5 linked regions of the Rattus norvegicus genome follow. The protein of the gene in region 5 purifies or fractionates together with the protein of the main gene of each other region. This does not show direct contact. Links are inferred from orthologs where the notes say so. Each region holds a gene or a part of one and is shown on either strand. Other genes may lie near its edges. The genes, in order: Nop2, Nop56, Rpl11, Ncl and Ebna1bp2.

What was found.
Region 1: the proteins of Ebna1bp2 (region 5) and Nop2 fractionate together in Homo sapiens (co-fractionation; 3 studies listed by BioGRID and IntAct, with this or other methods). This does not show direct contact. The link is inferred for Rattus norvegicus from reciprocal best matches to the Homo sapiens genes EBNA1BP2 and NOP2.
Region 2: the proteins of Ebna1bp2 (region 5) and Nop56 purify together in Homo sapiens (affinity purification with mass spectrometry; 4 studies listed by BioGRID and IntAct, with this or other methods). This does not show direct contact. The link is inferred for Rattus norvegicus from reciprocal best matches to the Homo sapiens genes EBNA1BP2 and NOP56.
Region 3: the proteins of Ebna1bp2 (region 5) and Rpl11 purify together in Homo sapiens (affinity purification with mass spectrometry; 3 studies listed by BioGRID and IntAct, with this or other methods). This does not show direct contact. The link is inferred for Rattus norvegicus from reciprocal best matches to the Homo sapiens genes EBNA1BP2 and RPL11.
Region 4: the proteins of Ebna1bp2 (region 5) and Ncl purify together in Homo sapiens (affinity purification with mass spectrometry; 3 studies listed by BioGRID and IntAct, with this or other methods). This does not show direct contact. The link is inferred for Rattus norvegicus from reciprocal best matches to the Homo sapiens genes EBNA1BP2 and NCL.

Annotation. Positions count from the first base shown.
Region 1 is NC_086022.1:159,617,513-159,621,767, reverse strand, and holds the start of Nop2 (probable 28S rRNA (cytosine(4447)-C(5))-methyltransferase), read right to left. Parts: upstream 2,803-4,255; 5' UTR 2,695-2,802; intron 2,485-2,694; 5' UTR 2,480-2,484; coding exon 2,374-2,479; intron 1,570-2,373; coding exon 1,524-1,569; intron 1,376-1,523; coding exon 1,287-1,375; intron 687-1,286; coding exon 508-686; intron 1-507. UniProt on the Homo sapiens protein: S-adenosyl-L-methionine-dependent methyltransferase that specifically methylates the C(5) position of cytosine 4447 in 28S rRNA. Required for efficient rRNA processing and 60S ribosomal subunit biogenesis.
Region 2 is NC_086021.1:137,928,675-137,932,981, forward strand, and holds the start of Nop56 (nucleolar protein 56), read left to right. Parts: upstream 1-1,504; 5' UTR 1,505-1,560; coding exon 1,561-1,563; intron 1,564-1,722; coding exon 1,723-1,812; intron 1,813-2,120; coding exon 2,121-2,235; intron 2,236-2,396; exon of another isoform or gene 2,397-2,465; intron 2,466-2,574; coding exon 2,575-2,736; intron 2,737-2,883; coding exon 2,884-3,082; intron 3,083-3,193; exon of another isoform or gene 3,194-3,325; intron 3,326-3,393; coding exon 3,394-3,581; intron 3,582-3,664; coding exon 3,665-3,816; intron 3,817-3,986; coding exon 3,987-4,087; intron 4,088-4,149; exon of another isoform or gene 4,150-4,235; intron 4,236-4,307. UniProt on the Homo sapiens protein: Involved in the early to middle stages of 60S ribosomal subunit biogenesis. Required for the biogenesis of box C/D snoRNAs such U3, U8 and U14 snoRNAs. Part of the small subunit (SSU) processome, first precursor of the small eukaryotic ribosomal subunit.
Region 3 is NC_086023.1:153,557,998-153,562,163, reverse strand, and holds the start of Rpl11 (large ribosomal subunit protein uL5), read left to right. Parts: upstream 1-1,361; 5' UTR 1,362-1,703; coding exon of another isoform or gene 1,704-1,730; coding exon 1,731-1,854; intron 1,855-2,800; coding exon 2,801-2,907; intron 2,908-3,106; coding exon 3,107-3,238; intron 3,239-4,138; coding exon 4,139-4,166.
Region 4 is NC_086027.1:94,453,280-94,457,286, reverse strand, and holds the start of Ncl (nucleolin), read left to right. Parts: upstream 1-1,203; 5' UTR 1,204-1,329; coding exon 1,330-1,347; intron 1,348-2,283; coding exon 2,284-2,400; intron 2,401-3,593; coding exon 3,594-4,007. UniProt on the Homo sapiens protein: Nucleolin is the major nucleolar protein of growing eukaryotic cells. It is found associated with intranucleolar chromatin and pre-ribosomal particles. It induces chromatin decondensation by binding to histone H1.
Region 5 is NC_086023.1:137,432,074-137,436,337, reverse strand, and holds the start of Ebna1bp2 (probable rRNA-processing protein EBP2), read right to left. Parts: upstream 2,805-4,264; 5' UTR 2,731-2,804; coding exon 2,665-2,730; intron 2,590-2,664; coding exon 2,506-2,589; intron 2,311-2,505; coding exon 2,138-2,310; intron 1,600-2,137; coding exon 1,476-1,599; intron 589-1,475; coding exon 499-588; intron 254-498; coding exon 178-253; intron 1-177. Other genes in the region: Cfap57 (cilia- and flagella-associated protein 57), read left to right, coding at 3,317-3,473. UniProt on the Homo sapiens protein: Required for the processing of the 27S pre-rRNA.

The sequences.
Region 1 (4,255 bases), on a different chromosome or scaffold from region 5:
AGTGCTTTTCAAAGTTGGGAGGGCTGAGATGGATCATCAGAACCCTTTACTCCACTCAGACTGTCCTTGTCTCTCAAGGAGCCTACAGTTTGGAAAGCTAAAAAGCAAGTTAGACATGGTAGCACACACCCTGGTGCCATCACTTGAGAGGCCTAGGCAGGAGGAGTACACATTCTAGGCCAGTCTGGGGACTAAAAGGCTAAGATTCAGTCAGGCATGGTAACAAACACCTGTAATCCCAACACTCAGGAGGCTAAAGTATGACAGTTGTAAATTAAGAGGCCTGTGGGCTACACAGTTGAGAGTTTGGGCCAACCAGGGCTACACAGTGATACGTTGTCTCAAAAGAACAAACAAGCTGGGTGTGGTGGCATATACCCTTAGTCCCAGCACTCAGGAGGCAGAGGCAAGAGGAGCTCTGAGTTCAAGGACAGCCAGGGTTACACAGTAGGACAATAGCTCAAATAAACAGAAAGATCTACTTGAGAATACCCAGAAGTGACTCACCTTTTCCTCCTCATCCTCCGAGTCCGCTCCATAGTCGTCCACCATATCTTCACTACTGTCTTCAGAGCCCCAAAGTTCCCCCTGGGTCACCACATCTTCTTCCTCAGAGTCTTCCTCCTCATCCCCATCACTGTTTTGAATTGGTGCTGGACGCTTCTTACCTCGAACCTGGACTGCTCCTAAAAACGGTAGGGTGTGCCAGACCCTGAGTGGACAGCAAACACACCTGCCTCACACCCCCCGAGCCTCAACTTTCTAGACCACATCTGACAGCTCATAGGGACCCATCTCCATCCCCGAGTGCATTCAGCATTCCACTCATGAGCACGCAGACACATGCAGACACAAACGAGTAACAGTAAAGACAGGGCTGGAGAGAAGACCCAGGCTAGGAGCCGTCATCCTGGCACTCGCATGGTACGGATTCTACTTCCAGGGGACCTGGTGCCTTCTTTTGACTTCCACTGGAACCAGGCAGCCACATGGCACACATTCATACACGCAGGCAAGACACTCATTCATGCACATAAAATAAATGAGGCAGAGACAGTTGGATCTCTGTGAGTTAAGGTCAGCCTGGTCTACAAAGTAACTTCAAGGATACCCAGGGCTACACAGAGAAACCTGTCTCTTAACCACTAAACTACCTCAGCATCTCAAACAAACAAGAAGAGGTCTAAAAAAGAGATCTTTGCTATTCCTTCCATTGTAGAAACAATTAGCCCTTTCCAAGAGCCAGTCGATTCTTCACAGAGCAGCCAACTCCCATGTTCACTAACCTTTGGGTAACTCTCCAGGCAATGTTTTGATCCCAGGAGACTTATTTGGCTTAGGGACTTCAACAGACCCTGACCTCCTCTTGGCCGCCCTGAAAGAAGACAGAAAGTGAAGACAAGGGAACACAAGGGTGGGTTCTGCCACCTCCCACCACAAGGAAACAAGACAATGCACGACCAGCCCTCTTCACCCATGGGTCAAGCAACTCCAATCCTCATTACACCTGGGCATCCACTCACCTCTTCCGAGCACGACTGGACAGCCTCTTGAAATTCTCATCACCAGCTGTTTTATTGTTAAAAAGGAGCAGATTAGGAAGTGATAGGAAACAAACTGGGGCAGGAATGTGATCAGGAAGAGATTACCACATTAACTAAAGTGTGGCAGTGATAGCATTAGGTATGTGTAAGCCCCCTAGTACACCCACAGCACCGGGAAAGCCATAAGGTTATAGACTCTGGGAGTCACTCTGTAACACTGAACTAGGAGTTACATCGAGATGTTAAGGAAAGGCCAATATACAACCTGCGCTGAGTATGAGGAAAGCCCATCCTATCCCCATCACTTCCAGAAAATTAAAAAAGACCAAAAGATGTAGAAGAGATGAAGCAGTCATCAGATTGGTCAGCAACCAAATTCAAGCAGGGTCATCTGATAACAATGTAACCTCAAACCCCCCTTTCTGCCCTCCTCTTAGTCTCAGCTTATTCATTTATCAACTAAATAAAGTAGAACTTAACTTTGTTATTTTTTAAGAGAAATTACAGAAACAAATCCTTCTTCACTTAGTATGTGTAAGACACCTGACCTAACAGAGCCTCTCTCCCACGACTCTAAAATTCGATGAAGTGAGACCATGTGTCCACAGAGTTAAGGATCTCTTTCATGAGCCTGTGGCTTGCCAATGTCTATATATTGCACCTTCCATTCAAATAGAACACGAACTCCCAATGCTACCTTCTTTAACACGGGCGATTTATTTCCTAACAACTCACATCTATGCAACAGGTAAAAGCGGACACGCAAACGAGAAGTTATAACACAAAATGGAGCAAAGGCTGGGCGGGATCAGGGAGCTACGACTCTCACCTGCAGGCAAAAATCTGATCAGTTCGGTCTCTGCACCCTTCTGCTTTCGAGCCTTTCGGCCGGGCCCACGCTTCTCCTTCTTCGTAGGATCCAACTTGCGCCCCATGATAACTAGAGCAAAGAAAAATGAGGGAAGGCGACGTTGGGGGATGCTGAAAAGGGAACGCAGGCTTAGGGATATTATCTGGGACGAAGCACCGCCTGGCCCAGGACCAGTGCTCGGAACGCCGATGTCCTCCAGGCTCTCCCACAGGACCTCGTCACCACGCCCCTCTCGAGAAGCTCAGGTCGAAACCCTGCTCCTCAATCCTGCGGACGCACCTGAAGGCTCGGCTTGCCTAGGACTGGTTCCGGCAGACCCAGTGCCTCCAGCCAAGGCCCGCTCCACGTGCACTTGGGGAAGAGTTCAGAGGCAGCACACCGCGAAAGTGAACTACGCGCAAAGCTTCCGGACGACGCCCCGCCTCTTCCTGCCGCAGCACCGGAACGGACCTGATCCAGGAACACGCACCTTCCGCGGTTCACAGAGGTAAACGCCCCGCTACGCGCTCGTGCTTTCTCTGCCCTCAGTTCGGGAGTTGGCTCCTGCCCGCGGGTTCCTGCTTGTTACTCCTAAGGCCGCACGCTCCCTCCACCTAGAGCTTGCCCCCTGGCACCCTAATTGCCTTAGACCTCAAGATCGCGGGATCCCACGCCTCCGCCCTCCTGTTCCCAAAGATTAGAGCTGCTTTCCTTAGAGGTAATCCTCCCTCCAGCCCTTTTCACTTAGCAAAACGTACTCGTCCTTCCTTCAAAGCAGTATTAGAGTTAAAAACCTTACAAGCTCGAGAGATGGTTTGGCGGATAAACGCGCTTGCCAAGCCTGACGAACTGAGTTTTGAATACAGAATCCACACATATGGTGGGTGTCGGGAACAAACTCCTACAAGCTGCTCTTTGACCTCCATGTGCACAGTAGTAAACGTAATACTATATACAAACTATATAAGTGAGTAGTAGTTCACTCTAATCCTAGCCCTCTGGGAGTAAAGGCAGGTGGGATCACGAGTTTTGAAGGCAGCCTGGAATTCCTGGACCCAGAACTACTCAAAAAACCCTGTCCCAAAAAACCAGTAACAATAAACTAAGGGAAGGTGAATCACTGAGAAAGATGAGGGTATGGTAACACATCCTTAATTCCCACACTTGGGAGGCAGGGACAGGCTGTATTTAGACCCTGGTCTCAAAAAATAAAATGAAATATTTATGTATGTATATGTATGTCTGTGTGTGTAGAAAATGTTTCCATGATAGATTGCTTGCCCAATGTCTTAACAACTCTGCCAGGCAAGTGACTACTTCATGCAGGAGGGCTCTGGAGACAATTTGCAAGGGAGATCAGAGCCTATGAAGGGATGGCCCAGAAGCCTTTTTCTCCACAGACTGTCATCCCGGCAGAAGCACAGGCACACAGGCTGCAGTCTTCAGGGATTAAACCAGTTCCTGGGGTATCTGGAACCCACACTCACCCACATAGAACCAGATCACTAAAATACAAGGAAACTTTTATTTTCAGTTCTCATCAAGAAATTTGCTGTGGTTTTTTATGCTTTTGGTTCTTTTTCTTTTTTTTTTTTTTCCAACTTTATTTTAGCTGCTCAGTGGCTGGAGCCGCTGGGTTCCTGGTATTAAAAAGGTGCCAACAGAGGTAGCTGTGTCTCACCCAGGGGCCCGGCCCACTCTGAATACCCCCCAAAAGGAGAAAACACAAAGTAAACCAACAAAATAAAACCAAAAAGAGGAAGAAATTCAGATCATTTTCTTCAAGCCTGGCAGAACCCACAACAGTTTGTAACAGGCGCACGGTGGGGAGAAGCCAGGGTCCAGAAGGCAGCCAGCCCGC
Region 2 (4,307 bases), on a different chromosome or scaffold from region 5:
TGTAAACAATACTGAGATTATTATGATTTAATCAGTAATGCTTAATATAGATTTATAAGTGCAATAAAATGAACTATGTGCTTCCAATTTTTTGCTGTTGAAACACTTTACTCAGAGGGCTGGGGAAAACCTGGAGAAATCCTGTCTGCTGTCCTGCATGGGGCAGACCTTGGAGATCTCCCAATCTCTCTGTGCTTCAATATTTAAAATGTTTATGTGTATGAGCATTTTGCCTACATGTATGTGTGTGTACCACATATATGGCTGGTACCCGTGAAGGCCAAAAGAAAGCAACAGATCCCCAGGAACTGGAGTTACAGGTAGATGTGAGATGCTATGTAGGTGCTGAGAAGTGGACCTCGGACCTCTGGAAGAGTCATCAGTACTCTTGACCACTGAGCCATCTCTCTACCCGACGAATGAATTCAGTAAATTCACTGAGTTGAGAAAACAAATCAGATACAACTTATAAATGTGCCTTATGGTTATAAGAATTTTCAAAATCCCTTTAGGAGTTGCAGTAGAGTTCAGCTGGTGGAGGCCCTGCCTTGAATTCGCTAACAGATACACAGGACTGGTAGAGGTTCAAAGAGCATACACGTAGTCAGCTACAGAGCCGCCAGAAGGTGGGGGGGAGGGGTAAGGAAGGGAGGAAAGGGAAGAGGGAAAAAGGAAGAGTGAGGAGGTGAGGAAGGATGAAGGAAAGGAAGAGGGGAATGGAAAGAAAATGAGGAGGGAAGGGAGGTAGAGGAGAATCCCCTTAGCATTATTATTTTCTTTAAGGCACAGACTAAGAGGCAATCAAGTTTGGGACTTAAAATGCTAAAACTAAAGTTATGTGGGTTTTTTTTCCTCTTTAAAGCAAGAGTAATTTTAAATTAGATACCTTGGTGTGCCAACAAATGACATTGTTAAACAAGAAAGCAGCTTCTTGGAAGGATTCAGGGCCCACTCAGCCATGAGCACCACGTGGTGCCGAGCAGAGCTCGGTTCTATGAAGCAGGGCAAGGAAGAGAACTAGCAAGAGGTAAACCGCCATTATCTACGCCACTGCCCGCACCAACACTTTTTTGAACAACAAAATTTAAGAGGAAGACGCAGGCAGCAAGGAGCCGCCATTTCTGCAGCGTCGGGGACCGGGTCCCAGGCGGAAGGCGAGGACCAGGACTGTCTGGGCAGCGGGAAACCGACAAAGTTCATCAGGGAGCCTTTCGTTCCCTCACCGAGTTCCGCCTCCCGGCACATGGGTAAAAAAGCACGAAAAACGGAGAAGAATGATCTCCAGGCTCTGCGGCCTGCCGGTAAGACCGGCGCCATTCATTCCCGACACAGTCTCAGCTCGCTCAGGCTCAGAGGCCCAGATGGGCAGGCCCGCTCGCGCCCGCGTAATCCAACCCGCCCGACGGACGATACCACACCCGCAAATCCCTCCGAAGACCTAGTAATGGTTCCGTCCCCAGCCTCTGATTGGTCCAACAGGAGAAGGCGTGGCCTCCGCAGTCTGGTTCCGCGCGCCAGAGCGCGCTACCCGCATTGCGAGCTGGGCACGGAGCAGGCGCCATGGTGAGGAGTGGTTGTGGGTTATTTGCGTTGTGAAGGCCTCAGTGTGCGTCTGGGTTTGCATTCAGGTTTGGGCTCGGAGTTTGGGCCAGGGCCTGCTCTAGCAGCGGCCCAGCGGACTCGGAAGTTTGACTAATGGCCGCGCGCCGGTTCCCTTTTCAGGTTCTGCTGCACGTGCTCTTCGAGCATGCGGTCGGCTACGCGCTGTTAGCGCTGAAGGAAGTAGAGGAGATCAGCTTGCTGTTGCCGCAGGTGAGTGGAATCGGTGGGCTCGTGGTGCTGCAATGCAGCCCCTAAGGCCGCCAAACCCCAGCATGCACCGCGTGTTCCCACGTGGCCGACCGCACCGAACGGGGAGGGGGGCAGAGCTGTAGAACGAGGGGACTCTAAGGCTAATCTATATAATAGGAGAGGTTGTAGATCAACATCTCATACTCTCATTTCTTAAGAATTAGAGTCCGGATGCGGGCCTAGGCACCAATTGCTACAACAGCTGGTGTTCCTGCTTTACTGCGCGGTAGAGGCCAAATTCAAAGAAAGCCCATTCATCCTCTCCACAGGTGGAGGAGTGTGTGCTTAACCTTGGCAAATTCCACAATGTCGTTCGTCTGGTGGCCTTTTGCCCCTTTTCTTCATCCCAGGTTGCCTTGGAAAATGCTAATGCTGTGTCTGAAGGTGAGCTCCCCCCCCCCCCCAGGGATGCGTGTTTCTGAATGGCTGATGATTTTCTTCTAAGCTTGATAGATTCTAGGCATTATTTGAGACCTACAAGATGGCAGTTTAAAACAGTTAAATGCTTCACAATTGTGCTCCCGGACCTGTGGTTGAGTCAGGCTTTGCAATGATGACTTGAAAAATCTGTCAATCCCCTGAGTGATCGATGATGACTCCATGTTTCTGAGCAATGCCTGAAGGGATGGGTGTTCCTGTATGGTCGGAGTGGAGGCACAGTCCTTCCTCTGTTACAGTTGGGACATTCTTCGTCGCGTTAAGAGCTGTGTTCTTTGTTCCAAGGTGTTGTTCATGAGGACCTCCGCCTGCTCCTGGAGACATACCTGCCATCTAAAAAGAAGAAAGTACTTCTGGGGGTCGGAGACCCCAAGATCGGTGCTGCTATACAGGAAGAGTTGGGGTACAACTGCCAGACTGGTGGTGTGATAGCTGAGATCCTTCGAGGTAAGAGTCCTGTTCAGTGTGTTGCCTCTACCATGTGGATGAAGTACCACAGAGGCCAGGAGAGGGGCTGCTGGTTTCTAGTAAGCAGCTATGAGTGGTTATGTGGGTTCTAAAAGGTCCTTAACCATAGTCCTGCCTTCTTTTTAGGGGTTCGTCTGCATTTCCATAACCTGGTGAAGGGTCTGACAGATCTTTCTGCTTGTAAAGCCCAGCTAGGGCTGGGACACAGCTATTCTCGTGCCAAAGTTAAGTTTAATGTGAACCGGGTGGACAACATGATCATTCAGTCTATAAGCCTTCTGGACCAACTGGATAAAGATATCAATACCTTCTCCATGCGTGTCAGGTAAGGTGCAGAAGCCACCAAACACTGGTTTTCTTCGGCCTAGTTTAGCTAATGCAAACTTAAGGTCAAGCAAGGCTGATAATTTGTGGGTAGAATCATGGACCAAAGCCAGGCCTCCTTGTGCTTACCACAGGCTGTGTTCCTACACTGACTGTATAGAAAGAGGAGGCAGAATAAACTACCCTGTGTACACCTCAGCCTAGGCCACCATGCCTGGTCTGTATTGTGAATGGGTAGACAGTGATTTGAGGGAGCCTGGGACCTGAGATCAGGTTTGACAGCTGGGTCAAGGTGTGATTGTCCCTCTGCAGGGAGTGGTATGGGTACCACTTTCCAGAGCTGGTGAAGATTATCAACGACAATGCTACATACTGTCGCCTGGCTCAGTTCATCGGGAACCGCAGGGAGCTAAATGAAGAAAAGTTAGAGAAGCTGGAAGAAATTACAATGGATGGAGCCAAGGCTAAGGCCATTCTGGATGCCTCTCGGTCCTCCATGGGTCAGTGCGGAGCGAGGCAGCCCGTATAAGGTACGAGGCTCCTTGAGTATCTGGTCCCCCTGTTCACACTAGGTGTTTCCTAGGCATGGACATATCTGCTATCGACTTGATAAACATCGAGAGCTTCTCCAGTCGTGTGGTGTCTTTGTCAGAGTATCGCCAGAGCCTACACAATTACCTTCGCTCCAAGATGAGCCAAGTAGCCCCCAGCCTGTCAGCCTTAATTGGGGAAGCGGTGCGTCATGGGGAACACAAAAGTGGGGGAGTAAAACATAGCATTCTGTACCGCTATACTTGTGGCTAGCATGCTGTCCCTAGTTGTTGCATGGTGGGGAGGAGGAGAGGGGAAAGAGTGGTAGGTCAGGTTTCTGTCCACTCACCTGCCCTCCTTGGGTCTCTCTCCAGGTAGGTGCACGTCTCATTGCCCATGCTGGCAGCCTCACCAACCTGGCCAAGTACCCAGCATCCACAGTGCAGATCCTTGGGGCTGAAAAGGCCCTGTTCAGGTACCAGTGAGGGCGCCTGCCCATGTCAGGTGCTGCTTCTGGTGTCCACTGCTTTGTTTGGGGATTACAGTGATGGCTGACCAGGACTACCTGACCTATAGAGGCCTCTACTATGGGAGTGATGGCCAGTCCTAGTGTCTGAGTGATTCCCAGGGCCCAGCAAAAAGGGACCAAGTTTCCAGGTCAGCAAATTGAATGCCTTCCCTCTCTGTCTCTGGGA
Region 3 (4,166 bases), about 16 Mb from region 5:
AGCAAGCGCTCTACCACTGAGCTAAATCCCCAACCCCCTGAAGTACCTATTTTACACAAGGGGAAAGAAAACAGACTGAAATCATTTAAATTAGTAACTAGTAAGTTGAATTAAAACCACACCTGCCTGTATTCACAGCTCAGGACTCTATTTTCAAATTTTATTTAGCATTTATTAGTTTATCTATATGAAAAATTTTCCCCCCGCACATGTGTTCTTGCAAGTGTGTGTCTGGCGTCCTCGGGAGGAAGGCAAGGGCATCAGACTGTAACAGCTGATTTAAGCCACTACGCTGATTAGTATAACTTCTATGTTAACATTGTTACAAAATAAATGCCCTAGAATCTGTACAGTTTATCCTTTTACTTATGTAAACGAGTGTTCTATCTGCATGTACACCTGCATACTAGAAGAGGGCATCAGTTTAGTTGATTGTGAGCCACCATGAGGTTGCTGGGATTTGAACTCAGGACCTGTGGAAGAGCTGTCAATGCTCTTAACTACTGCACCATCTCTCCAGCCTCAGCTTATTTTGAAAATTTTGCTTATTTTTTTTTATTTATATGGGTGTTTTGCCTGCCTGCCTGCATAACCTGGTGCCTGTAGATGCCAGAAGAGGGATCTGTCTCCCTGGAACTGGAGTTACAGCCAGTTTTTTTTTTTTCTCCTTCGGAGCTGGGGATCGAACCTAGATGCCTTGCGCTTGCTAGGCAAGCGCTCTACCACTGAGCTAAATCCCCAACCCCAGCCAGTTTTGAAATACAGCGTACATGCTGGGAACTTTGCAAACCAAGGTCCACTTAAAGTACGGCTATGACTCTGTTCTTGAAGTGATGGACTCAAGAACATACCAGTCTACCTGGTTTTCAAAAGACCTGGTCTTTAGCCCGAGATGACTGCAGTTCCGAGGACGATCCACTAGAGGAGGCAGCGCCAAGACAACCGTGCCTCTCTTTCCCACTCTCACCTCGTTTGTCAGCCTAGGAGAAAAATCCCGCCTCCTGACCCATAAGGCCACGGGGCCGGAAGTCCCACTCTCTCTTCCTGTTCTCCACCATGGCGGTGAGTAGAGCAAGAGTTGCTTTTGCCTCTCTTTCATCCATCTCCATCCGCGGCCGGCGGAGCCCACGAGGGCTGTTTCGCCGGTGGCTGGAGGAGGACGGAGCCCGCGATGCTGGTGGCATTAAGACCGGCAGGGCTGTGCGGGCGCAGGGCTCGCCCGTCACGTCGCCGCCCATCGTAGGAATGGGGCTCAGGTCAGCGGCCCCGAGGGCCCAGACGCGGGGTCTGGGGGCTTCCGGGAGCGCGAGCGGAATGTGCCGAGCTCTCTGTCGGGTCCCAGCCCAGGGGACTTGAAGCTTGTTTGGTGCTGGGGAGCATCTGCGGGTCCCTACTCAGGACTGGTGCTCGCTTGCAGACAGCTTGGGAAGGAGGAGGGCAGGTCGCGTAGGCCGATGTTTCCTGTAGTTTGTCATTTTAAGGTTACATTGTATTCTCTCCTGTCTGATTGGCTTTCTATAAGCTCTTGTGTCTATTACCCAGAAACATCGACCGCCTTAGCATTCAGGCTTACTCAGTGCTCCTCCGCCCCAAACACTGAGACCTTTTTAGTCCTTAGTCCATAGGATTCGGGACCGTAGAGATCAGACTGGAGAAGACATTGGCTTCTCGACTTTGACGGCTGCGTTTACTCTTTTCTGCAGCAAGATCAGGGTGAAAAGGAGAACCCCATGCGGGAACTTCGTATCCGCAAGCTCTGCCTCAATATCTGCGTGGGGGAGAGTGGAGACAGACTGACCCGAGCAGCCAAGGTGTTGGAGCAGCTCACAGGCCAGACCCCTGTGTTTTCCAAAGGTGAGTGGTGATGGGCTAGCCAGAGAGGCGTGGATGGAAGGCCTCAGTCCATCTAGCCGGAACAGGAGTGCGAATAGGGAGCTAGAGTAGACGTGTAGTATTCCGCCTGGTTGACAGGTAAGAACAGGGTTAATACATTACACTGCTGGGGTGAGAGACTATCCGTTCTTATTCTTAATATTCATGTTCGTATCTGAGTACTCTGTTTGCTTGACAGAAGAGGGCGTGAGATGTTGTTATAGATGGTTGTGAACCACCATGTGGGTGCTGCTGGGATTTGAACTCAGGACCTCTTTAAACCACTGAGCCACCTCTCCAGCCCCCTATCAGTGCTTCTTAACTTTAGGCTCTACCTCAGCTTCCTTAAAATGAATTCTGATTCCCTTGTGTGGCCACATGGGAGGTGTTAATGTGCTTGAAACATGGGGTCTGTTGGGAGTGTGGTTATAGGTGGTCTGTTGTTGGGATTGGATACCCTTTCTTAGTACCACCGGTGAGCCTGGGCTAGTTAGCCTCAGGACATCTGGACAGTCGGCCTTTTGAAAATACTAGCTTTTACCAATGTCAACCTCCCAGCTTGTCCCTTCCACACCCCATTCTGGATTTTGAATGCAGGTTCCTGTATGATAGAGCATAATGTTAAGCTAGGCCTGGTAGCCTATGATTGTAACTCCTGTACCCGGACTGAAACAGGAAGATTGCTCCCAGGTCAAGGCCAGCCTGGGCTACATTTGACATTCTCAAGGAGTATTAACGGTGCTAACCTTTGTCTCTGACTTGCCTAATGTCATGAACTCTGGGGATTGTAATGTTCTTAGCTGAAGTGCGGCTGGGGACATTAGAGCTGGAAAGCTCTGTTCTGTGTTGGTGGGTGAGGTTGATTAACACGTTAGATGCCGGGCAGTGGGAGTAAAATGTTACCTACCTCTCTGTTCCCTTCTTGCAGCTAGATACACCGTCAGGTCCTTTGGCATCCGGAGAAATGAGAAAATCGCTGTTCACTGCACTGTCCGTGGAGCCAAGGCAGAGGAGATTCTGGAGAAAGGCCTGAAGGTGAGGTGGGCTGGCCTGGAAGTGGGGAACATTTGATGGATGATGAGAGATGATTTGGTTTAAGGGAAGGGTTGCCTGTTCTCCTGGCTGGGATGCACAGAGTTTTGGTTTTGCTCCGGACCTTCTGGGTGTTGGTCTGAGCTCATACTATGCTCTTTAAACACAAGGAATAACCTGGTTGCTCTTTATGTCTCCTCAGGTGCGAGAGTACGAATTACGGAAGAATAACTTCTCAGATACCGGCAACTTTGGCTTTGGGATTCAGGAACACATTGACCTAGGCATCAAATATGACCCAAGCATTGGCATCTATGGCCTGGATTTCTATGTGGTATGTGGAATGTGGACTTCTTGATCCCAAGCTGCCTGTGGGGAGAGGGCCTGCTGCTCCTCTGTCTGTTGTCCGCACATGCTGTCTTGCTGTTGGGATGTAGTGCTGGGTTGAAGTCTGTGTCTTGTCTGCCTGTGTGTCCCCCTTGAGAGAAGGGCCTTGTTCTAGCAAGTGTACAGGTTCAACCACACAGGGTTGACAGGTCTCTGCTGTGCAAAGCTCTCTGGGAGAAACCTGTGCTGCCTTTGTCCCTGGCATTGGCTACCCTGTCTCCACTCATCCCTAGTCTCTGGCACACGTGAGTTCTGTGGGGAAGACATGGAAACAGACTGTGCTCAAGTGGGGTTTTCATGTGGAAATGACTCTGTTACCACAGTGCTTCTGTGAGAGCAAAGAGCCAGACGTAAAAGTGAGACCTGAGGGGGAGGTCGGTTAGGGCGGCAGAGCTCTGGGCAGCTTCTGAACCAAGGGGGTGAGTGTGCCTTTGTGCCTTTGGGTGCTTTACATTTCTTCACATTACACATGTTGAAGGTTTTTGTTGTGAGGCAGGGTCTTTGGTTTACAGCCCAGGCTGGCCTTGAACTCCCTGCATGTTAGTATTACATGTGTGTCTGGTGCCTAGAGGCCAGAACAGGTCAAGGGAATCAGATCCCTCTTGAGACTGACGTTACAAGGCTGGAGACCAGTTGGGGAAGGAGCCTGCAGGGCATGTGTGTTCAGAGCTTGGTGTGTTGTCCGGGTAGCTAACGACACTTCCGTCCAACAGAGGTACTGGTCTTGCTTCAGAATCTGTTAAGTTTCTGGATGACTTGAAGATCGGTCTCTAATGTGTGAGTCTTGTCTGTCCACTGGTGACCCGGCCCTAGGCTGGCTAGATGACTGTTGGTTATTCTGGCACAGGTGCTGGGTAGGCCAGGTTTCAGCATCG
Region 4 (4,007 bases), on a different chromosome or scaffold from region 5:
CCTATCTCAAAAACTCCAATCAAGGGGTTGGGGATTTAGCTCAGCGGTAGAGCGCTTGCCTAGCAAGCGCAAGGCCCTGGGTTCGATCCCCAGCTCCGAAAAAAGAACCAAAAAACAAAAAAACAAAAAAACAAAAAACTCCAATCAAATCTTCTAGATTGGGCCGGGCGTGACGACGCGGGTCGAGGCTAGCCTGGTCTACACAGTGTGCTCTAGGACGGCCAGAGCAAATAGTGAGGCCCTATCTCAACCCCCACCAGCACCTCCACAGGTAATTTTTAATCGATATTGTCAGCTGATGAGGGCACCCGTTTGCTACGCTTGGAACCAGTTAGTGGCAATCCGTTTAAAGCAATCCAAGACAACTCTCTCGTCCTCTGCCACGGAGGGAACTCGTGAGCGGTCCCAGGCAGGCCGAGTACTTCTCCCACCACACACCAGGAAGTCACCTCTCTGAACCTGGAGTTATACCTACCGCGTGAGGTCAGAGATTAAATGGACTGTTTGTGCACTGCTCACACACACACACACACACACGCGCGCGCGCGCGCGAAATTGCTTTTATTAGGAGCTCTCAGGAAAGTGGTGGCTCGCATCAGGCTACCACAGCCAAGAGGACCGCCACCTCTACCGAGGGCAGGCCAAGGCCCACTAAACGGCCCGAATGAACTCTAGGCCTTCCGGCGCTCTCCAGCTCTTCAGCGCGGCGAACGTTCTAGGCCCCTGAGAAGTCCACCGGGAGGCGCAGGTTTCCGCTACGCAAGGGAAATCCCCGAGAAATGCCCAGACCACCTAAGCACAGACGTCCATGCGGCGTACGGATACCTGAGGGAATCCGGGCCATACCGCCACCTACTCGCGCCTCACTCAAGCCGCGCCAAACTCGCGCGTTTCACTGCGCAGGCGTGTAGCGAGCGGGCGCTCAGGAACACTCAAAGGACCAGCACACTGACCAATCAACGTCCGCCTTGGCCAAAACTAGTCCCGCCCTCAAAAGCAGACGTCAGGCCCTGCCCCTAAGAGCCCCGCCCTCCCCCACGCTTTAGGCCCGACCCACGCCGTCCTGGGTTAAGGCTCGCGGTTGGTTCGGGGGACGGACGCGAGCTCTGGTTGGTGGAGGTGAGGTCACGAGAACACCTTCGTCGCCTTTCCAGAGGCGATTACTGGGCAAGCTCAGTCTTTTGCCTCAGACGCTAGCTGTAGCTGGCAGGCGGTTGTACGTGCTCCAGAGTCTTCATTACCCGCCGATCCAGTCGTCTTCGCGTGGGTTCCGCTAAGCTCTTCTGAGCTGCTCGCTCTCTACACACGCCGTCGCCGTAATCCGCCATCATGGTGAAACTCGCAAAGGTAATAGGCCTGACGCGCGAACACGGACGACTAGGCCTGCTTTCTGAGAGACGCGCGCGCGCCCGTCGCGGAGGGGAGGAGGGCCTGCGCACAGTCCCGGGCGCGTTCGAGGGCGCCATGCTGAGGGAAGTCTCGCGCGACTAGCGGGAGGTCTCGCGGTGTTTGGCCTCTGACTTGAGGGATGAGAGGAGCCGAGGCAGGTTCTGGGAGGGCGATGTAGAGTGCACCGGGGCCGGGGGTCGGTGTGAGGGGAAGTCGGAGGAGTTGAGCGCGGAGAGGGGGTTGGAGGCTCGGCGAGTGAAGTGGGCCAACCTTAAGCGGCTAGCGCTCTCGGCCCCGCCTCCCGGCGCACGTGCTCCGGTGCGCGGCCCGCCACGTGGGTTACGGCGCTCCGCACGTGTCGCGCGTCCGAGGCAGTGAGGGGAGTGGGAGTACACCGGGAAAGGGGACAGTAGAGTTGGCCTAGTTACCTAGCGATCCGCAGTCCCTGACCGTGACGGGTAGATGGACACGTGGTGGGCTCCTGAGGTAGCGCGTGGTGACCGGCTAGGTGACTCCACGTGGTTTGGCTGTAAGCGTGAGAAAGTAGGAAGTAGCTCCGATACAGAGATGCTTTTAAGAGGTGCCTTCGAGATAACCCCCTTCCCCGGCAAATAGTTAAAATGGAACCTTTAACTGGGTTTTTTTCTTTTTTGTGGAACGTGCCAGAAAATAAAGTGCCACGACTAAGTAGACTTTAAAAACCTGTGGCTGTTTCCTGGTGAAGGTTTCTGTCTGTAAGACAAATTATGCGCAGTTCTCAGAAAAATTTGCCAGGAAGAGTGTCGTGCCTGGCCACGAGAAGTCTTTATGCTTGTGTTCTTTAGTAAGAAAGGAGGTGGTGGCCGAGGACAAAGTGGCTTACAATGCGGGTGATTTTTTTGTGTGCATTTGTAGGCCGGCAAAACCCACGGAGAGTCCAAGAAAATGGCTCCTCCTCCAAAGGAGGTGGAAGAAGATAGTGAGGATGAAGAAATGTCAGAAGATGAAGATGACAGCAGTGGAGAAGAGGAGGTAGGATGCTATTTGAAAAATTGTGTGATTTGCAGTGGTAGATTGACTGGAAGTGTCAGAAATAACAGTCAGTTCGGGGGGGTGTCTGGGCAGAGTTTCGTATGTTGTATTGAGTAGAGTTTACTGTAGATTTGTGGGGTGGTTTTCCCTCCGTTTTTGGGAAAATTGCTTATTCTAGCCTAATTTTTATTCAGTCCATGGTCACTTGGCTTTGTGAATTTTGGCAGGACATTATGACAGGAAGCTGTAGACCAGCCTAACCTCAGATAGGTTCTCCTGAATTAGGTGTTAGCCACAGTATCCAGACAAATGACAAGTTTAGTGAGAAACCCAGACTTTGATCTAGGTAGAGATGGAATCAGGGTCTCAGCTTAGGTGGTACCATGTGAGTTTTTTGGGGTTACCCCCCCTTCTATATATTAAGGGACTAAGCTGGACACTTTAGAGGAGAGGGTAGCCTTTTTAGATTCTTGTTCTCTAAGCAAAATTTATTATTCCCCGTATTCTTTATCTCACATGGTTTGTTTTTGCAATACTGGTCCCTATCACTGAGCTTCAGCTTATTTGAATCTTAATTCCAATCATTGTTCAAAATACATTGTATGGGTAGAAAGCTGCTAATAACCCATTTGCTAGATATGACATTCCCAAGTTTCATTTAAAGACAATCTAGCACACAGGAGACAGAAATAGGAGTACATAGTGAAACCTTATCTCAGGACAGTTTTTATGGTCATGCTCAATCAAATTTCTTAGAAAAGCTCAGGTGCTGAGTTAAGAGTCCAGTTTTTTAAGCATTGAAGGCCATGTATCCTTATTTAAGGGTTTAATGTTTATCTTTATGTGTGTGAGTGCATTAAGCATGCTTGGTCCCCTCATGCTAGAATAGAATGTACTTGGATATCCTGAAACTGGTATTACAGCTACATGTGGATGTTAAACTTGTTATAAGAGTAACAAGTGGGGCTGGGGATTTATTTAGCTCAGTGGTAGAGCGCTTACCTAGGAAGCGCAAGGCCCTGGGTTCGGTCCCCAGCTCCGGAAAAAAAAAAAAAGAGTAACAAGTGCTCTTAACTTCTGAGCCATCTCTCCAGTTCTTTACTTTTTAGAAACATATCTAATGTCTATCTTGTGTTAGTAACTTAACATAGCATTGGATATAGAGGAATGCTTATGATTTGTTTGCTTTCAAGGTTGTCATCCCTCAGAAGAAAGGCAAAAAGGCTACCACAACTCCAGCAAAGAAGGTGGTTGTTTCACAAACAAAAAAGGCTGCAGTTCCCACACCAGCTAAGAAAGCAGCTGTTACCCCAGGCAAAAAGGCAGCAGCCACACCAGCCAAGAAAGCTGTTACACCAGCCAAAGTAGTTCCAACACCTGGTAAAAAGGGAGCTGCACAAGCAAAAGCATTGGTACCAACTCCTGGTAAAAAGGGAGCTGTCACTCCAGCCAAGGGGGCTAAGAATGGTAAGAATGCCAAGAAGGAAGACAGCGATGAGGATGAAGATGAAGAGGATGAAGATGACAGCGATGAGGATGAAGATGAAGAGGATGAATTTGAGCCACCGGTAGTAAAAGGAGTGAAACCAGCAAAAGCAGCTCCTGCT
Region 5 (4,264 bases):
CATGCCTGCTATTCCCTAACTGCATCTGAAGGAGCACATCTTGTTCCCCACAACATTTCCCAAACATAAGCCTAGCAGATGAAAGCCAAGATAACTCCAAAGAACTAGAGAATCCCTTCGCTTCTAAGGCACTGATACGCAGGTTTCCCTACATTCTTAGCAGACAGACACGCTGACCTTTCTGGTACTTCTTGATGGCATTCATCATATGCGCTTTCTCCTGCTGCCTCTTCTGAAGGACCTCAGTTTGCACCTGTGAGACAGATACATGGTTAGTCCTGCATCCCAAACCGTGACTCCAGACACTGCCAGCTCAGCCGCCGCTACCACACTATGTTGGATACACCCAGGTGTGCCACAGTGCCAAGTGAACCTGTGTTTGGGGACACCAGCAGACACTTTATCAGGATCAAACATGCACAGGGCCAGAACCAAACCCCACCACGATCAGCCCTGGCGTGCCCGGCGGTGCCATTCCACACAGGTGCCCTTTCTCACCTTCTTTCCGTATTTCCTAAGCGCTCGAAGTTGCTTGGCCTTTTCAGATTTCTCCATGGCAGCCTGTTTAGTCTGCAGCTTCTGTCGAATCTAAAGCACGGGATGTTGTTAGGCACTATCTGGAGCACACTAGAAGGGGGCTCCAAGTTTTACTAGCTCTGAAAGCTTCCACATTAAGGACAATACAGTCCTAAAGCTGAGTGTCAGTGGGCAGCCACTGCTGAGAAGCGGCCCTGCCTCTCCAGACAGGCATGTTCCGTCACAAAGCTGCCTGCTTGTCACACAGGACCTGTTTCCCCAAAGACTAAGGCTAAACTTGAGCCTTCTCCTCTAATGGCCCACCTATGTAATAAAGTTCCTGCACACTCACACCTTGCCTCTTCAATCACACACACACTGTACTGACAGTGTTTGTTATCAGTGTGACTGTGAGAGAGAGACGATCTGTGCTCGTCTCACACGGGCAGCTTCTTGGGGTACGACCTGTAATTCTCTAAGATGAAGACTGAGACCAATGGTACAATTTAAATACATCCTGGGTGGGACATTGAGTTTTTTTCTCCCAAAGTTGAATGAAGATCAAATCCCCCTAACTCTAAATCATACCATATCTTAGCTAGATATCAAGCCTTCAGTTCTAGAAAGCTAAAGGCCCAGAGAAGAAAAATCGGTCTAGAAGCAATAGTATTCTTGGCATTGCTGGACCCAGAACTATAAGACTACTGTGTCTGTACCATTCCACTCACCCTGCCAGAGAGGAAATACACAAGCCTTCTTATTGCAAGGACCACACTTCTTCCAGACCGTCTCTCCCTAATTTATCTAAGTGACTGCCATGCCTCTGAAGCAGAGACTATAGAAATACTAGTTACAAATAGTATAAATCTTTGTTTCCTTTTTGAAAGACTACAGGAAATGAGCCAGCTGGAACGAATAGACTTCAGGAGAAACCTCCGCTTTCCAGAGGAAAAACTTACCTTTTGCATCTGTTGATCAGACTTGGCCATTTCTGCAAAATAATCAGTGGGCCTCTTCGTAGGGACTTGGAGCTGGTGGAGTCGGGGTAATACTGCAAGCACAGCAGCCTGGGCCTGGCGGTAGCTGAAATTACAGGACAGAGTGAAATGAGGGGAGGGGAGGGAAGAGGCATTCGCTTCTTCTTACTGCCTCTCAGAAGTTAACTAACCTCAGAGCTGTCGCATCCCACCTTCACTGGCAAGATAAAACAAACGAGTCAACTAAAACTCCACTAATTTCGTATATAACTGAAATTTCACTTTATGTTTATTTAGAAAGGGAAAATACTTCCAAGAATAAGAAGGTTTAAAACGAGCTTATTAAAAAATATTGAGCAAACTATGAACTGTTTCCCAATCGTTACAGAAAGACCACTCAAGCACTCCCTAGGCAAAGGTCTATTCTGACGATTGGAGGCACCCAGACTTCAAATGAATTATTTTTGAAACATCCCTCAAGCAGGGTGCTGGTTAAATGGTGACCAAGAATCTATTCTTTCAACCAGAGGAACCCCCCTAGCTCCACTCTCTTGGCTCATGCTAACTCCCCAGTGCCCCTGAGGTTGCAGACACACTAAGATCCTCCTTCTGTAACTCTGTAGAAGGACCCACAACAAACGTACAAACTCATTTCCCTCTGGAAGTCGTCTTCTGGATTAACACCTTTCTTCTGGTCCTTGTTCTGGGGTGTTGACTGAGTTTCACTGGCTTCAGGCACAGGACCCAGGGTCACATCGAGCCTTTCAACCCACTCCAGATCCCGTTTGAATTCAGCCAAGCACTGCTTCAGGCCATTCTAGATAAAGTCAGACACGGCACTCATGAGAACCGCGACTCTGTCTCCCTCAAACCCAAAGTCCTATGCTCAAATACCCGCAAGGATGACGCCCGCTGCGCAGGGGTACATCTGTCCCACAAGAATCGGTCTCCCAAGAAGCACAGCGCCTGTGCACATCCCGTTCCAAGGACCCCGACCCTCGCACGAGCTCACCTCGTCATTCACCGCCTTCTTCGGCTTCTCTAGCACGACATTGAGGCCTGGCTTTAGGAGTCCGCGGGAAAACGCATCCTGCAACTATAGACCGGGACGCCTCAGTACCGAAGAGCTAAATAAAGTTCCCGTTCCACCCCCTACCCCGCTAGCGTCTACCTCTTGATCTGAGGCCAGGCACTCATCCGACCCGGAGTCCGAGTCTGAGAGCGGAGGGGTGTCCATCTCGCGGCTTCCCGCCCCGCGAGGTTCGGCTGCCACTCCACGTGCCAGCAAGACGCACCAGCGCCAGCAACTTCTCCACTAGCCTCTGGCTTTTCAACAAGTACTTCCGCTTCCGGGTGCAGAGCCAAACTTCCGGTTTTCTCGTTGCTATAGGAACTGCTCTGGCGTTTGGGCGTGCCCGGATTGCTCCGGCTCTTTAGGAAGAACACCTGCGGGTCGCTACGTTGTATAGTAATCCAGAGTCGTGAAGCAAGAGGTGAATAGTTTCTCTGGGGTCCACCTAAAGGCCTGGAGGCGTTGGGAGTGCATGGGAGGAAGGCAAAGCTTGGAAAGAGCCCCGGGAGTGGGCTGAAGAGGAAGAGGAGCCTGGGGGCGGGGCGATGGAGGGGCGAGGCGGGGTCAGGGTGGGGCGGGCCCAGGGTGGGGCGGGGCCATGGGTGGGGCAGGGAGATACACTCTTATGTCTTTACTCCCACCCGCCTGCCTCTTTTTTTATATATTTGGTTGTGAGCCTAGCCTTTAACGGCTGGGCCATCTCTCCAGCCCCTCTTTTTTTAATCTTTTACAATACTCTTTGACAGGTACCATGTCCACCGTGGTAGCTCAGTCGCTTCATGTTTTTGGTCTTCGGTCTCACGTGACCAACAACATCTTCTTCTTCGATGAACAGATCGTTATATTTCCTTCAGGAAATCACTGTGTGAAGTACAATCTAGATCAGAAATGGCAAAAATTCATTGCAGGTAAAAAAAAAGAAAAGAAAAGAAAAGAAAAAAAACCCACCCTTCCCATCCTGACACATACATTTAAAGGCATGTGCTGCACAGAACCGCACAATCTCAACGATTGGGAAGATCTTTTTTTTTTTTTTTAATAACTGGGTTATCCACATAGTTTTATAAATGCAGACAAAATAAATGTCGATTTACACTGTTTAATCTTAGATTAACCCAACTCAAGTAGCCAGAATGACACATAAAATAACACTCATTTTAAAAGTACTTTTTCGGGTTGGGGATTTAGGTCAGTGGTAGAGCACTTGCCTAGCAAGCCTAAGGCCCTGGGTTCGGTCCTCAGCTCCGAAAAAAAGAAGAAAAAAAAAAGTACTTTTTCACAGTGACAAAGAAGAGTTATTTTAAACAGTGGTTTTTCTTGCATTCTCCTGCAGTCGGGTTTGTCCTCACCAGAAACCTCTTTTGAGTCTAATAGTTTCGAGAGTTCATGACCTTCATCAAACCCTCGTATGATGGAGACACTGGAAATTTTATCTTAAGTGACAAATAACCTCCCTTAGAACCTACCTCCTGTTTTCTGTTTACATTAGTCTGGGCATTGATATTCATATTTCCCCACTTTTTTTGCATTGACCATTTTTATTGCTTCATATGCATATGTAATAGACCACACTACATATATGTAATCCTTAATGAGTTACTATTACATAAAGACCTGTGCCCCCAGACACCCAGGATCAGCCAGTTTCAGAGCTTCTTCATTCCGCTCAACCCATCCCCACACCCACACCAGCCTATCT